Linked DNA regions of Arabidopsis thaliana. The protein of the gene in region 2 interacts with the protein of the main gene of each other region in a pairwise test. Each region holds a gene or a part of one and is shown on either strand. Other genes may lie near its edges.

Region 1 (6,032 bases), on a different chromosome or scaffold from region 2:
ATCAACCCCGCCGCAAGAACCGCTTGCTCATTCAAACGCGCTTTTTCTGCATCTTCCTCAACGACACTACTACTCTCTCCAAATATTCTACTGCTGATATTCAAAGCAGGGAGGCCGAGAACAATTTCTCTCATATTGGTTTCTTCATCGCTCCATTGCTCATCAGATTCCTCTTTCTCTTCCTCAGTAACATCCACTTTCGTTTTCTCTGGGTTCGGATTACTCATACTATTTTCGCACTTTAGTCTAGGGATTGATGTTTCAAAACGACATTGAATTAGCCCTTATATAAAGTTTTCTCTGAACCATGGCGGTTATGACAGTTAATTCCTCTCCCGCCTTTTCGTTTGAAGATTTGCATCCGTCGTTTGTGATTGGTCCGTCCTAAACTCTGATATTACGTAAATTTGGGCTTAATATCGTATAAAGCCCATTACTAGCCCATAAGTTATTCGTACTTGGTAGGTTGGTTCAAGAGTTTTTCTTGTTTTCTGTTTGTAATCGTTTCTCGTGCGTTTTTGGTCATCGAGATTGCAAGAGTCGTTGCAACTGCACTAATACTATTATGCATGTGACATCCGACAATGACGTGACTTGTAAACTTTTGTTTTGACATATTTTTTCTTTATTTATTATTACAATAACATTATCATTTTTTTTTTTTGGGTGGAAACATTATCATTTTTATTAGCCATTCTTTATTTATTCTATATGTTTTTACTATTTAAAATTTAAACATTGATGTATACCGGTAAACATAGTTTTCAATGTCAGAAGGAAGCTCTTGAAGCTATGTAATAAATCACAAATACAACAAATTGCAACACCAAAAAAAACTAATGTAACCATTGATGTGTGATATATGATATAGCGAAGCCGCAACTGTCTTAAATATTATTTTGAATAATATCTACACACTAGACTCTAACTAAACGTTTAACAGTTTTCTAAAAATGCAGATATAAAAAGTTATCTAAAATATTTCACATATTTGAATAAGAAATTAGAAACACAATCACCTTTTGACCATTCTAAGGAAATTCAATTACAATAACTATGACCAGAATCATCTAGCCTAATTTTTGATATTCTCTAAATTAAATATTTTTAAAAAGCTTGACCAAAAAAAAAGAAATGGCAAGAACACTTACTACAGAGTCAGCATAATTCTCGGTAACAATAATTCTTAGGAAAGAGAGCAATTCTTAGCTCTGTAGTAAAACACAGATTAATAAGCTAAGATTAAGATTAAAGAATCAATATGTTGACTTTAAGATCTTAGAGCCGCGCCTTACGGAGGCTCTGGCTAGTGGTAACGAGCCTTCTTTGTCTGAAAAAGGCAACAAAAAAAACACAAAAAAGGAATAATAAATTTGAAATGAGAAAGAGAGAGCCACCACACACACCACATGGCCAAAAAAGTTACCGTTGGGTTTAGACAGACTTAGAAACAAATCGTTTCCTTCATGATCCAACGGTCATCTTAATCACCTAGCCGTTGCTATTTCCTTCAATAATAAAAAAAAATAAAATAAAAAAAGGTAGCAACTTTAATTTTAATTGATTTGATTTAATTTCTCTCTCTCGCTTATTTCATCCCCTTCTCTGACTCCTACTGATTCATTCAATTGCATCAGACGTATACACAGAGTCACAGAGAGAAGAGAGATCCTTCTTCGTTTGATGCTCTTCTTCTTCTTCTAGATTCTTCTCCAGGAGCACTATCAAATCGAGTAAAATAAACAATGGTTAATCCAGAGGAGAACAATCGTAATCTCGTTGTCAAACCCATTACAGAGATTCTTCAAGGTAGTAGTAGTAAAACGCCTTTGAAAAATCTGAGAATTATAGGTCTGACGAACAGAGAGTCTGATGTTGTTTTGTTTCTGGGTTTTGTCAGATGATGATAAGAGAAGCAGAAAATTCGGTGTAGAGATGAAGAGACAGAACAGGAGAGCATTGGGTGTGATTAATCACAATCTCGTTGGTGCAAAAGCTTATCCTTGTGTTGTTAACAAGAGAAGAGGCTTATCTCAGTAATATACTTAACTCTCTCGAATCCTAAAGTTTGTCTCTTTGATTCTTGGTTTTGGGATTTTGATGATTATTTTCTTCAATAGGAGAAAACAAGAAAGCTGTGACAAGAAGAAGCTTGATTCATTGCATCCGTCAATTTCAAGGTTAATAAAGTTTAAAGCTTTCAAAAACGTTTCTTTTGCTGAGAAAGAGAGATCTGATGTTATTTGAATTTCTGCAGATCTCAGGAAGAGACTAAGAAGCTGAAACCAAGTGGAAACGAGTTTGGTGATTGCATATTCATTGATGAAGAAGAGGAGAAGAATGAAGAAGTTACATTGGACCAACCTATGCCAATGTCATTGGAGGAACCATACATTGAATTTGATCCAATGGTAATTAACAATCACTTTTCAAAAGATCTTTAGCTTTTTTCTTTTAATGTGAATTCTAAAGAAAGTTTTTTGATTTGGACAGGAGGAAGAAGTTGAGATGGAGGATATGGAAGAAGAACAAGAAGAACCAGTTTTGGATATAGACGAATACGATGCAAACAACTCTCTTGCAGCTGTTGAATACGTCCAAGATCTTTACGATTTCTACCGTAAAACCGAGGTACGGTTTCTTAATATGTCTCTGAACCAAAACCATAAGATTTTGAATTCGGACTGAGACAATTTTCCATGGATTTTGGTAATCTGCAGAGATTTAGCTGTGTTCCTCTAGATTACATGGCGCAACAGTTTGATATATCTGACAAAATGAGAGCAATACTTATTGACTGGCTCATCGAGGTATATTCAAGCACCTCTCAATGGTAATGGATTATTGTATATATAGAGGCTAATTAAGAAGCTTCTTGGATGTTTCAGGTACATGATAAGTTTGAGCTGATGAACGAGACATTGTTTCTAACAGTCAATCTGATAGATAGATTCTTGTCCAAGCAAGCTGTTGCAAGAAAGAAGCTTCAGCTTGTTGGTTTAGTTGCATTGCTCTTAGCTTGCAAGTACGAAGAGGTTTCAGTACCTATTGTTGAAGATTTGGTAGTCATTTCGGACAAAGCTTATACGAGGACCGATGTTTTAGAAATGGTAAAATAAGATTGTTTCTTTCCAAAAACTCGGTAAAAAGATTATACATTTGATCTGATTTCAATAATATAATCTTTGTGTGCAGGAGAAGATTATGCTTAGTACTTTGCAATTCAATATGTCGTTACCAACGCAATACCCTTTCTTGAAGAGGTTCCTCAAGGCAGCTCAATCAGACAAGAAGGTAAAGAAACAAATCTATCAATGTACACAATAATATAAATGGATTGTGAATTACAAACTAATCTTGTTATTGAAACAGCTTGAGATCTTGGCGTCGTTCTTGATTGAGCTTGCTCTTGTGGACTACGAAATGGTTCGGTATCCACCATCGTTACTCGCCGCCACTGCCGTGTACACAGCTCAATGTACAATCCATGGCTTCAGTGAATGGAACAGCACTTGTGAATTCCATTGTCACTACTCTGAGAATCAACTCCTGTAAGTCTCTTTTACCCATTAGCACCTATAAAGACTCATCTTTGTAACTAATATGGGTTTGTTTTACAGAGAATGTTGTAGAAGAATGGTGAGACTACATCAGAAAGCTGGGACTGATAAACTAACAGGAGTACATAGAAAATACAGCTCCTCCAAATTCGGATACATAGCAACAAAGTATGAAGCTGCACACTTTCTTGTGTCAGATTCTCACTAAAGAGTGGAAAATAGTAGTTTGTGTATAGCTCGCTGCTAACATTTTCCCTCTCAATTTTTAATTACAAACGAAATAAGTTCAAAACATTCCTCTGATTTGATCTGTAACAAGTCTTTCTTTTATTGATATCTCAGCAATAAAATTCTCTTATACCAATCATATTTTTTGTCAATAGTTACAGATTCATAGAATATGTATGATATAAGGATGAGAGTTTTGATTTGAACTCTTTTTCTTCTACAACTTTAAATAAAACACATTGGAAATGAGTCTTAACTATACTAACACCGCAGACAAAACTAGTACCACCTAACACAAACGCTGTCGTTTTCAAGCTACATTTATATATCTCCCACCAACTCTTTCTCAGATCTTTTGTCTAAGTAAAAGCGAAAAGGGCAACAAACAAAAATAAACTCGGAGAATCTCACAACAATCATGGCGGCTACGACGAACTCTTTCCTTGTCGGAAGCAACAACACTCAGATTCCTGCTTTGAAACCCAAATCATCATCTCAATCCTTTCTTCACCTCAGCAAACCAAACACCGTCAACTTCGTCAGCAAAACCAAGCCCGTCGCTGTTAGATGCGTCGCTTCAACGACTCAAGTTCAAGATGGAGTTAGATCCGGCTCCGTCGGATCCCAAGAACGTGTCTTCAACTTCGCGGCGGGTCCAGCCACTTTGCCTGAGAACGTTCTCCTAAAAGCTCAGGCGGATCTATACAACTGGCGTGGATCTGGCATGAGTGTGATGGAGATGAGTCACAGAGGCAAAGAGTTTCTCTCGATTATACAAAAAGCTGAATCGGATCTTCGTCAGCTTCTCGAGATTCCTCAGGAATATTCCGTTTTGTTCTTACAAGGTGGTGCCACTACTCAATTCGCTGCTTTACCTCTCAATCTCTGCAAATCGGATGATACAGTCGATTTCGTTGTTACTGGTTCGTGGGGTGATAAAGCTGTCAAGGAAGCGAAGAAGTATTGCAAGACTAATGTGATTTGGTCTGGGAAATCTGAGAAATACACAAAGGTTCCATCTTTTGAGGAGTTGGAGCAAACTCCGGACGCTAAGTATTTGCATATATGCGCCAATGAGACTATTCATGGAGTTGAGTTTAAAGATTACCCTGTTCCTAAAAATGGGTTCTTGGTTGCTGATATGTCTTCTAACTTCTGTTCGAAACCTGTTGATGTATCTAAGTTTGGTGTGATTTACGGTGGTGCACAGAAGAACGTTGGTCCATCTGGTGTCACAATTGTGATCATTCGTAAAGATTTGATTGGGAATGCTCAAGATATTACTCCTGTGATGCTTGATTACAAGATTCATGATGAGAATAGTTCGTTGTACAACACGCCTCCTTGCTTTGGGATTTACATGTGTGGTCTTGTGTTTGAAGATCTGTTGGAGCAAGGTGGATTGAAAGAAGTGGAGAAGAAGAACCAGAGGAAAGCTGATTTGCTTTACAATGCTATTGAAGAAAGCAATGGCTTTTTCAGATGTCCTGTTGAGAAATCAGTGAGGTCGTTGATGAATGTGCCTTTCACATTGGAGAAGTCTGAATTGGAAGCTGAGTTTATCAAGGAAGCTGCTAAAGAGAAGATGGTGCAGCTCAAAGGACATAGATCAGTGGGAGGTATGAGAGCTTCTATTTACAATGCAATGCCTTTGGCTGGTGTTGAAAAGCTTGTTGCTTTCATGAAAGATTTCCAGGCTAAGCATGCTTAGTTTTAAGGGTTTTTGCATTTTGGTTATGTTTGTTGAAAGATGATAAGCTTTAAAGATGATAAGCTTTAAAGCTTATGATTTGTTTTTTTTTCTTCTTTTCAGAATGAATAATGTTTAACAATGTATCAAAATCTTTCTCCATCAATTGGAAAAACAAGTTTGTTAACAAACAAAGAGCTTTGTTATTTGTTTGAAGTGATTATGATTGATGATGAAAACCGCCTTAAAGAAGCTGCAGGTGATCTCATGTTCTCTTTTTAATGTCTCCTTTCCCTGCAACTCCCTGAAACTGAAGATCCTGTTTTAACAAAAAAGCAAAATTCAATTCAGATCCCAAACTATACTCAGATATATAAATACACAGTTCACTGTAGGAATTAAGAAAGTAAGTTACCATTTGGTATTGTCTCTCTATAAGCAACAGCTACATTTTGAAAGAACTCTCTGGTAGCATCTGCATATTCAATCAACTAGCATATTGGCACACTACGAAAGCCTGAGCAATGGAGAACAAAATCAGAATACTATTTTCA
Region 2 (7,705 bases):
ATATATATTAAAAGCATTCAAATTCAGAAAGCAAAAATTGAAATAATAATTCTGCTAATCGGATAATTGTAATAAGATGATGACGACGACGAATTAAGGTGTCATTTTTGGTACACATTCACTCACTTACTAATCATATTCGAGATTGATGATTTGCCGTATCAAAATTATTCATTGATTTTGGGTTCCAATTGGTCTTAATAAAATATAACACTTTGCAAATGTTCAAACATACAAATTTGTATGAAATGCAAGATCTATTTAATTCTAAAAGTATTACATTAAATCAAATGTAACCGGTGAAAAAGAATAAGAAAAAAAAACAAATGTAACCATTTCTTTGCATTATAGTTTTAAATAGACAAACTTAAATATAATTACAAGTACAACTCTTGATTTTATATTGGGATACAGGGATAATAGTATAGGTTTGATTGGTGATTATCAACCGCAGTTTTTTTTCTTGTCATCATTTCAACTGCAATTTGGGATCCAAAAAACAACCAATTGTAAATACTTCACATTGGTGGGTGAGAATAAAAGTGTCAACTTCATTTTCCATCTCTTTATCTATCTAATCAAAGAATTCTATCAACTCAATGATGAAGAAACTTCAACTTTGCATGTCTTGAGAAAAAAAGATATTCCAGCATATCAATGTCGAATCATGTGATTTGAAAGGATAAAAGTATATTGCTCACAAAATTTCTAAGTGTTTTCGCGGAAAATAATAATAATATATGCGATTCTATTCTTTTCTTTGTCAATTGTTCCAAAAATACATTACGAAATTTTACGGTAGAGCACCACAAAAAAAAACGATATTGCTCAATAAAACATTCACATCAAGAAGTTATTGCTCAATAAAAAAAAATTGTTTTGTAATAAAAAAAACTTTTCTTTTAATATATTTTTATTTTTGTAACTGTGAGGTTCAACCATAAATTTTTTTTTTATTAAAACCAATAAATATAGCTTAAATCTCTTTCAAACTTTTTTACATATGTGACTAACCATCAGTGACAATTCGAATTTAATATTACTCACGGTCTAGCAGATGTGTTATAAATTTTGAAATCAATTATAATTTTACAAATTATATCAAACTTGGACTTTGAGTATGTCTCTATTTGCCTTAAATGATCAAATATTACATAAACAAAAAAACTTGAAATTAAGGTTATTAATAAATAATTTAATATTTATTTTTGAATTTTGGTGGATTTAGAAAGAATAAAAGTATTTTTTCTGGGAAAATATGCATATTTATATTATTTGAATTGAGTATAGTAAACTAAGGGTGTTAAATGAAAAACAAATTGTTGTATGTACAAATTGACTTCATTTGGTCAATGAAAGAAAGTTGCAGTGTTGGGGGATAAGTATTGAGCGGCGGCTAAAATACTAAAGATTTTCTAATATTGCCATAAAAGATATTTTTTGTAACTTTCTATTTGTCACGGCACTGATTTTTTCAAAACTCCCATGACACAGCTGTCTTTACCCCATAATATATTGAACGTAAAGTAACTTCTTTGACCAATTGACCATGCTTAGTTGCTTACGTTGTTTATACAAAAGATTCATTGTTGGAAGTATAAGTAGCAGTAATATTACATCGTAGGTTGTTTTCTCTCATTAACATCGTCTCTAGGTGACTAGAAGAACGATCCTTTGTGTGTGAACTCGTGAGCAGAATCTAAACGAAAATTATATAAAGCTTAGAATTCATTAGAAAAAAGTGACATACCAAGAAACCCGAAAATGGGGAAGTTAATTTCATTTGAACAAAAAAAAACATTGTAGTTTTGTAATAAAAGGGTTGACATGGTCTTAATGTGGAAGAAGTAAAGAGGCTCACGAAAAGTCCATGTTGTCTACAAAGGAAGAAACAAGAACCAATAGAATTAGAGTTCAAACCAAAGGACGAAGTATGCAAGTTAATTTGACAAGCTAATATCCTAAGAATGAAGACATGGTCTAACTTTGAAACAGCAGCCACTAGTGTCCTATAAATACATAGAGTTCATTAACCTCTCATAATATCTCACAATCAAAGTTCTATCTCCTCAAGTATCAATACATTGATATCCATTAAAAAAAAGAAATATCAATACATTGCTTTGCTTGTTCTGTAAGATGCAAATGGACAGCCCCAAATCTCCTCTCCAGCCCCCGACCTATGGAAACTTAGTTACAATCCTCAGCATCGACGGTGGTGGCATTAGAGGGCTAATCCCTGCCGTTATCCTTGGTTTTCTCGAGTCCGAACTCCAGGTATATATGTGCTACCTAACTATACAAATATTATGTTTGTAAAATTATATTTTCTTAACTCATATATATACATGGATGCATAGAAATTGGATGGAGAAGAAGCAAGGCTTGCAGACTACTTTGATGTAATAGCGGGAACAAGCACCGGTGGTCTAGTGACAGCCATGCTCACCGCGCCTAATAAGGAAGGCCGACCCTTATTTGCAGCGTCTGAAATTAAAGATTTCTATCTTGAGCAATGTCCGAAGATCTTCCCTCAAGATCATTTCCCATTCTCAGCCGCCAAAAAACTCGTGAAGTCCTTGACTGGTCCTAAATATGACGGTAAATACCTTCATCAGCTTATCCACGCTAAGTTGGGTGATACAAAGTTGAGTCAAACACTTACCAACGTTGTCATTCCAACGTTCGATATCAAGCATCTTCAACCTACTATCTTTAGTAGTTATGAGGTTTGTTTATAGCTTGTTCTATTTGTGAAATTACAATATAATAATTAACAAAACTTTGGTTTAATATATATATGACTATTTTATAGGTAAAAAACCATCCTCTCAAGGACGCAACCCTCGCAGACATTGCCATCTCAACTTCAGCTGCCCCTACATACTTGCCTGCCCATTTCTTCAAAGTTGAAGATTTAAACGGAAACGCTAAAGAATACAATCTTATTGATGGTGGAGTTGCAGCTAACAACCCGGTAAATTTCTAAATATTGGATTTATCATTTATGTAGCAATAGGGTTTTTATACGAAGAATATAATATATCAACAATTATTATGGACTTAAATTGAATAATTATAACATGAACACACAATGTTAGACTATATTTCATTTTTTACTATGGAATTTCTTATAATAATCGATACGAGTTTTCTGTAAAAATCTTGAATAGATCATGATATAGTTGTTATATGTCAAGTATAGGCTTTGTTGGCCATTGGGGAAGTAACAAATGAGATCTCAGGAGGAAGCAGTGACTTTTTCCCAATAAGACCAAATGATTACGGAAGGTTTCTTGTGCTTTCGCTTGGAACCGGAAATCATAAAGCCGAAGAGAAATTCAATGCAAAAGAAGTAGCTGGTTGGGGACTATTGAATTGGTTAACACACGACAACTCTACACCTATCATTGATGCTTTCTCGCAAGCTAGCTCCGACATGGTTGATTTCCATCTCTCTGCCGTTTTTCGAGCTCTTCATTCCGAAGCCAACTATATTCGCATCCAGGTATCAAAATCAGCTAGCGCACTAACCATTTCTTTTTCTTTGTCTCCACAATTCCTAAGATTTGGGTATTAATTATATAGGATGACACATTAACTGGGGATGCTGCTTCTGTTGATATCGCTACCGTCGAGAATCTGGACATTCTTGCCAAGACAGGAGATGAACTACTTAAAAAACCTGTTGCAAGAGTCAACCTAGACTCGGGTTGTAACGAAAATGCTTATGAAACGACTAATGAACATGCTCTTATAAAGTAAGTGGCCCAATTTTTGCATTTTATAGCTTTATTCTTTCATACTTAAGGTGATTAAAAGTATTTTGCTAATATATTTAAATTTTGGTTGTGAAGGTTAGCAGGAATACTTTCAAAAGAAAAGAAGATCCGAGACATTCGTTCACCTCATGCAAAAGCTCCAATTAGGATCTAAAGAGATCAATTATTGTATCTTGTATATTGTTGATGATTCGTTTGTTTCACTAATGCACGTTTGGATTTATATTAATAAAAAGGTTGCACCACATTGTGGTCACTTGTACGTTTGAATAAAGTCAATAAATATTTAATGGATGGAAATGCTCTAAAATGTTTGGTCATTTTTCAACATACATTATACTAATAGAATAATGGCGAATAATACATAGACACGTACGTACTGAAACCAAAGTTATCTCAACTAATCTAATTATCTAAGCCTTTTTTTTATGGCTTATCAACTAATCTAAGCATAATGTAAATATAAAAAAAACTATTTATTTTTTACATCTGCCCTATTTAGGCTAGTTATGAAATAATTAATGGCATGACATGTAAATAATAACAAAATTAAGGGTGTTTGGTTTTCCAATGTTTGTCGATTAGGCTGAAAGCGAGAAATCAAAGTGAAGGCAGCGTCTATCTTGGTCGTCGGAATCCATGGCTTCTCTTCTCAGGCCAACTCCATTACTCTCTACACCTCGTAAGCTCACTCACTCTCATCTTCACACATCTATCTCTTTCCCATTCCAAATCTCAACTCAGAGAAAGCCACAAAAGCATCTTCTCAATCTATGTCGTTCGACACCAACACCGTCACAACAAAAGGCCTCACAGAGGAAGAGAACAAGGTACAGGAAACAATACCCAGGAGAAAACATTGGTATAACTGAGGAAATGAGATTCGTCGCCATGAGATTACGCAATGTTAATGGTAAAAAATTAGATCTTTCTGAAGATAAAACTGACACCGAGAAGGAAGAAGAAGAAGAAGAAGAAGACGATGATGATGATGATGAAGTAAAGGAAGAGACTTGGAAGCCTAGCAAAGAAGGGTTTCTTAAGTACTTAGTTGATAGCAAGCTTGTCTTCGATACTATTGAACGAATTGTTGACGAATCTGAGAATGTGTCTTGTAAGAACCCTACTTTGGTCTCGAATTTGACAGTTTGGTAATGATTTGGGTTAATGGGGTTTGTGTTCAATGTACAGATGCTTACTTTAGGAGAACAGGATTAGAGAGATGTGAAAGTATTGAGAAGGATCTACAATGGTTAAGAGAACAAGATTTGGTTATACCAGAACCAAGTAATGTAGGAGTTTCTTATGCAAAGTATTTGGAAGAACAAGCAGGAGAAAGTGCTCCTTTGTTTCTTTCTCATTTCTACAGTATCTACTTTTCACATATTGCTGGTGGTCAAGTTCTTGTAAGACAGGTTAGTTTCTTTGGAAAGCTTTCATAAAGTAACATAGAAGAGTTATATAACTGCATAAGGTCACATCCAGCATATTGAATGGTTAAAGCTAGTTCGATATATTAAAGATTAGTATCGATATAAATGGATTCAGGAGAGTTCGATTTATCGGGAGTTTTGCTGGTTTTTAGTATACTTTTCACACATTGCTGGTGGTCAAGTTATTTGTAAGACAGGTTAGTTTCTTTGATAAGTGTTCACAGAGTAACATAGAAGAAATTTTCAACTGCATAATGTCACATCTAGGATATTGAATGGTAACAGCTAGTTTGATAGAGTTAGAGATTGATATAGATATAGTGGATTCAGGAGAGTTGGGTTTATCGGGAGTTTTGCGGTTATGGTGGGTATGAGAGAGTGGCGATAAGAATGAGAATGAGAATGTGAGAAGATTTCCATTCTTCTTCATTGAGACTCAACTTACAAATAGAACTGTGATAAAGAAACACTCAGATCCTAAACCAAAACCAACCAACACCAGGCTTGCTCAATTAGTTTAAAGCTTGCCCCAAAAGAACTTGTTAACCGACTGTTAGTTAGGTTAATGTGGTATTAACCAACGGGTGAACTATGCTTTTGTCTTTATTTTTGAGATTTATCATAACTGTACATTCTTTTTGTTGGTTCTGTTGTGTTCTGGTTCTTACTTTTATCAATATATCCCATGATTTGGACTGTCATAATTGTTTGGTAACCCTTATATGCGAGGTGTTCAAATGTAACTGATCAGTTGATTCATTAAGGTATCTGAGAAACTTCTGGAAGGAAAGGAGCTGGAGTTCAATAGGTGGGAAGGGGATGCACAAGACTTGCTTAAAGGCGTCCGTGAGAAGCTTAACGTGCTTGGGGAGGTCAGATTGTCAATGAAAATTATAACTCTTCATTCCACCAGTTGCTAAAATCTGATGTTTTGGTGATGCTTTTGGGAAATGAAGCACTGGAGTCGGGACGAGAAGAACAAATGCTTGAAGGAAACGGCAAAGGCATTTAAGTATATGGGGCAGATAGTTCGCTTGATCATCTTGTAAATATCTAGGTTTTAAAGTTAACAGTTTCCGGCACCAGACCTGTGTTCACTACGGTAAGTCTGGAATAGTTTCAAAACTTTCATTGTCAACTGTCTCTTCACTGAAAATCAAATCTCCCCTGCAGATTGCATTGCTCCAATATGCATACCGCAAGCATTGTGGTCTCGCTAATTCAGGGCAGTGCTGGAAATGAAGCTGATGACCACCAGCCAGCCTACATGGCTGGAAGAGTAACTTTCTGTTATTTGTTGGCTTAAGTCAGCAGTAAAGATAAGTCACCAAATTACTTATTGAAAAATGTAGCCAAAGGTTGTGGCCTTCGTCTCATGATTGTTTGATAAGATATTGTTGTTCCTCAGTTATATATATTTGAATTTTGGTGATTTGCACACTAATCATTGCTTCTAATTATCTGAATAAAAAGATCAAATATGACTCACTAGCTATTTTGGTTGCTACATCAACATAATAGTTCATTTGGCTTTTTACCTTTTTGACATTTTGAATTTAATTTATCTTCGAATTATCTAAGACTCTAGTATATATCAATCTAACCCACATCCTTAGCTTGGAAGGCCAAGGGTTGTAGACGACATTAATCGCTCATTTTTATATATATATTTGATATCTATTATTCAAAACCGAAAATGAAATTTTGGTCTTATTCGGCAACTTTATAATGAATATTTTCAAATTGTAGTTTTCTTATAAATATACTATCATTCGAAGTTTTATTTTTGAATCAACAATTTTAGTTAAAGAAACCATGCAAAATTGAAAGTAAAGAGACATATAGTTGGCTTAATGTGTTCGTAAAGAGATTTGTGCGTAGTGTTAAAGAGCATACATACTTCAATATTAAGAAATATTTGGATGTAAAAACACAATTTTAGTGGTAATATCAGTAGTAAATTTTTAAGTAAATGTAAATAAGATGATAATTTGCATGTAAAACATTTCTAAAAAATTTGTTGAACTATATTTATTACAAGATTGCAAACCTAACTTTTTTTAGATTTTGAAATAATAAATAATAATATTTAACAAATTTTGGTGATTCATAATTTAACTTTACTAAATTTTTATTGGGCCGTAGTGTGTAAACAACTTGAATAGACTAAAAAACACTATTGGGCTGTAGTGTAACAAAATTGGGCTCAAATGAAAAAACAAAAAACAAAAAAGAGAGACATTAAAACGCACGTGGAGATAGAATTGTATTCAACTATTCATCATCTTCGTTTGGATTTGGTTTCTTTCTGTTTCTGACAAAAACCACCGGCAAAATAAAGCGACTACGATTCCATTTTCACCGGCGCTTCCGTGAGACAACATCTCTCCATCTTGGAACTTTTTCTAATGGCATTATTACTCCTTTCTCACTGCTCTATCTTATCTTTTCAACCTCCATTATCGTCTTCTTCTTCATTTCATTCTTCAC

What was found.
Region 1: the proteins of PLA2A (region 2) and CYCB2;2 interact in binary tests that used the Arabidopsis thaliana proteins (3 or more experiments, as listed by UniProt).

Annotation. Positions count from the first base shown.
Region 1 is NC_003075.7:16,899,999-16,906,030, forward strand, and holds CYCB2;2 (Cyclin B2;2), read left to right. Parts: upstream 1-1,597; 5' UTR 1,598-1,745; coding exon 1,746-1,809; intron 1,810-1,900; coding exon 1,901-2,036; intron 2,037-2,120; coding exon 2,121-2,180; intron 2,181-2,257; coding exon 2,258-2,411; intron 2,412-2,493; coding exon 2,494-2,631; intron 2,632-2,720; coding exon 2,721-2,810; intron 2,811-2,888; coding exon 2,889-3,110; intron 3,111-3,195; coding exon 3,196-3,294; intron 3,295-3,372; coding exon 3,373-3,551; coding exon of another isoform or gene 3,552-3,555; exon of another isoform or gene 3,556-3,620; coding exon 3,621-3,768; 3' UTR 3,769-4,003; downstream 4,004-6,032. Other genes in the region: AT4G35610 (zinc finger (C2H2 type) family protein), read right to left, coding at 1-227; PSAT (phosphoserine aminotransferase), read left to right, coding at 4,207-5,499; SERAT3;2 (serine acetyltransferase 3;2), read right to left, coding at 5,757-5,797, 5,894-5,953.
Region 2 is NC_003071.7:11,290,143-11,297,847, reverse strand, and holds PLA2A (phospholipase A 2A), read left to right. Parts: upstream 1-1,929; 5' UTR 1,930-2,139; coding exon 2,140-2,277; intron 2,278-2,360; coding exon 2,361-2,729; intron 2,730-2,815; coding exon 2,816-2,977; intron 2,978-3,205; coding exon 3,206-3,508; intron 3,509-3,588; coding exon 3,589-3,761; intron 3,762-3,857; coding exon 3,858-3,936; 3' UTR 3,937-4,146; downstream 4,147-7,705. Other genes in the region: HO2 (heme oxygenase 2), read left to right, coding at 4,422-4,896, 4,974-5,197, 5,331-5,412, 5,501-5,583, 5,980-6,087, 6,172-6,264; HEMD (uroporphyrinogen-III synthase family protein), read left to right, coding at 7,624-7,705. UniProt on the Arabidopsis thaliana protein: Possesses non-specific lipolytic acyl hydrolase (LAH) activity.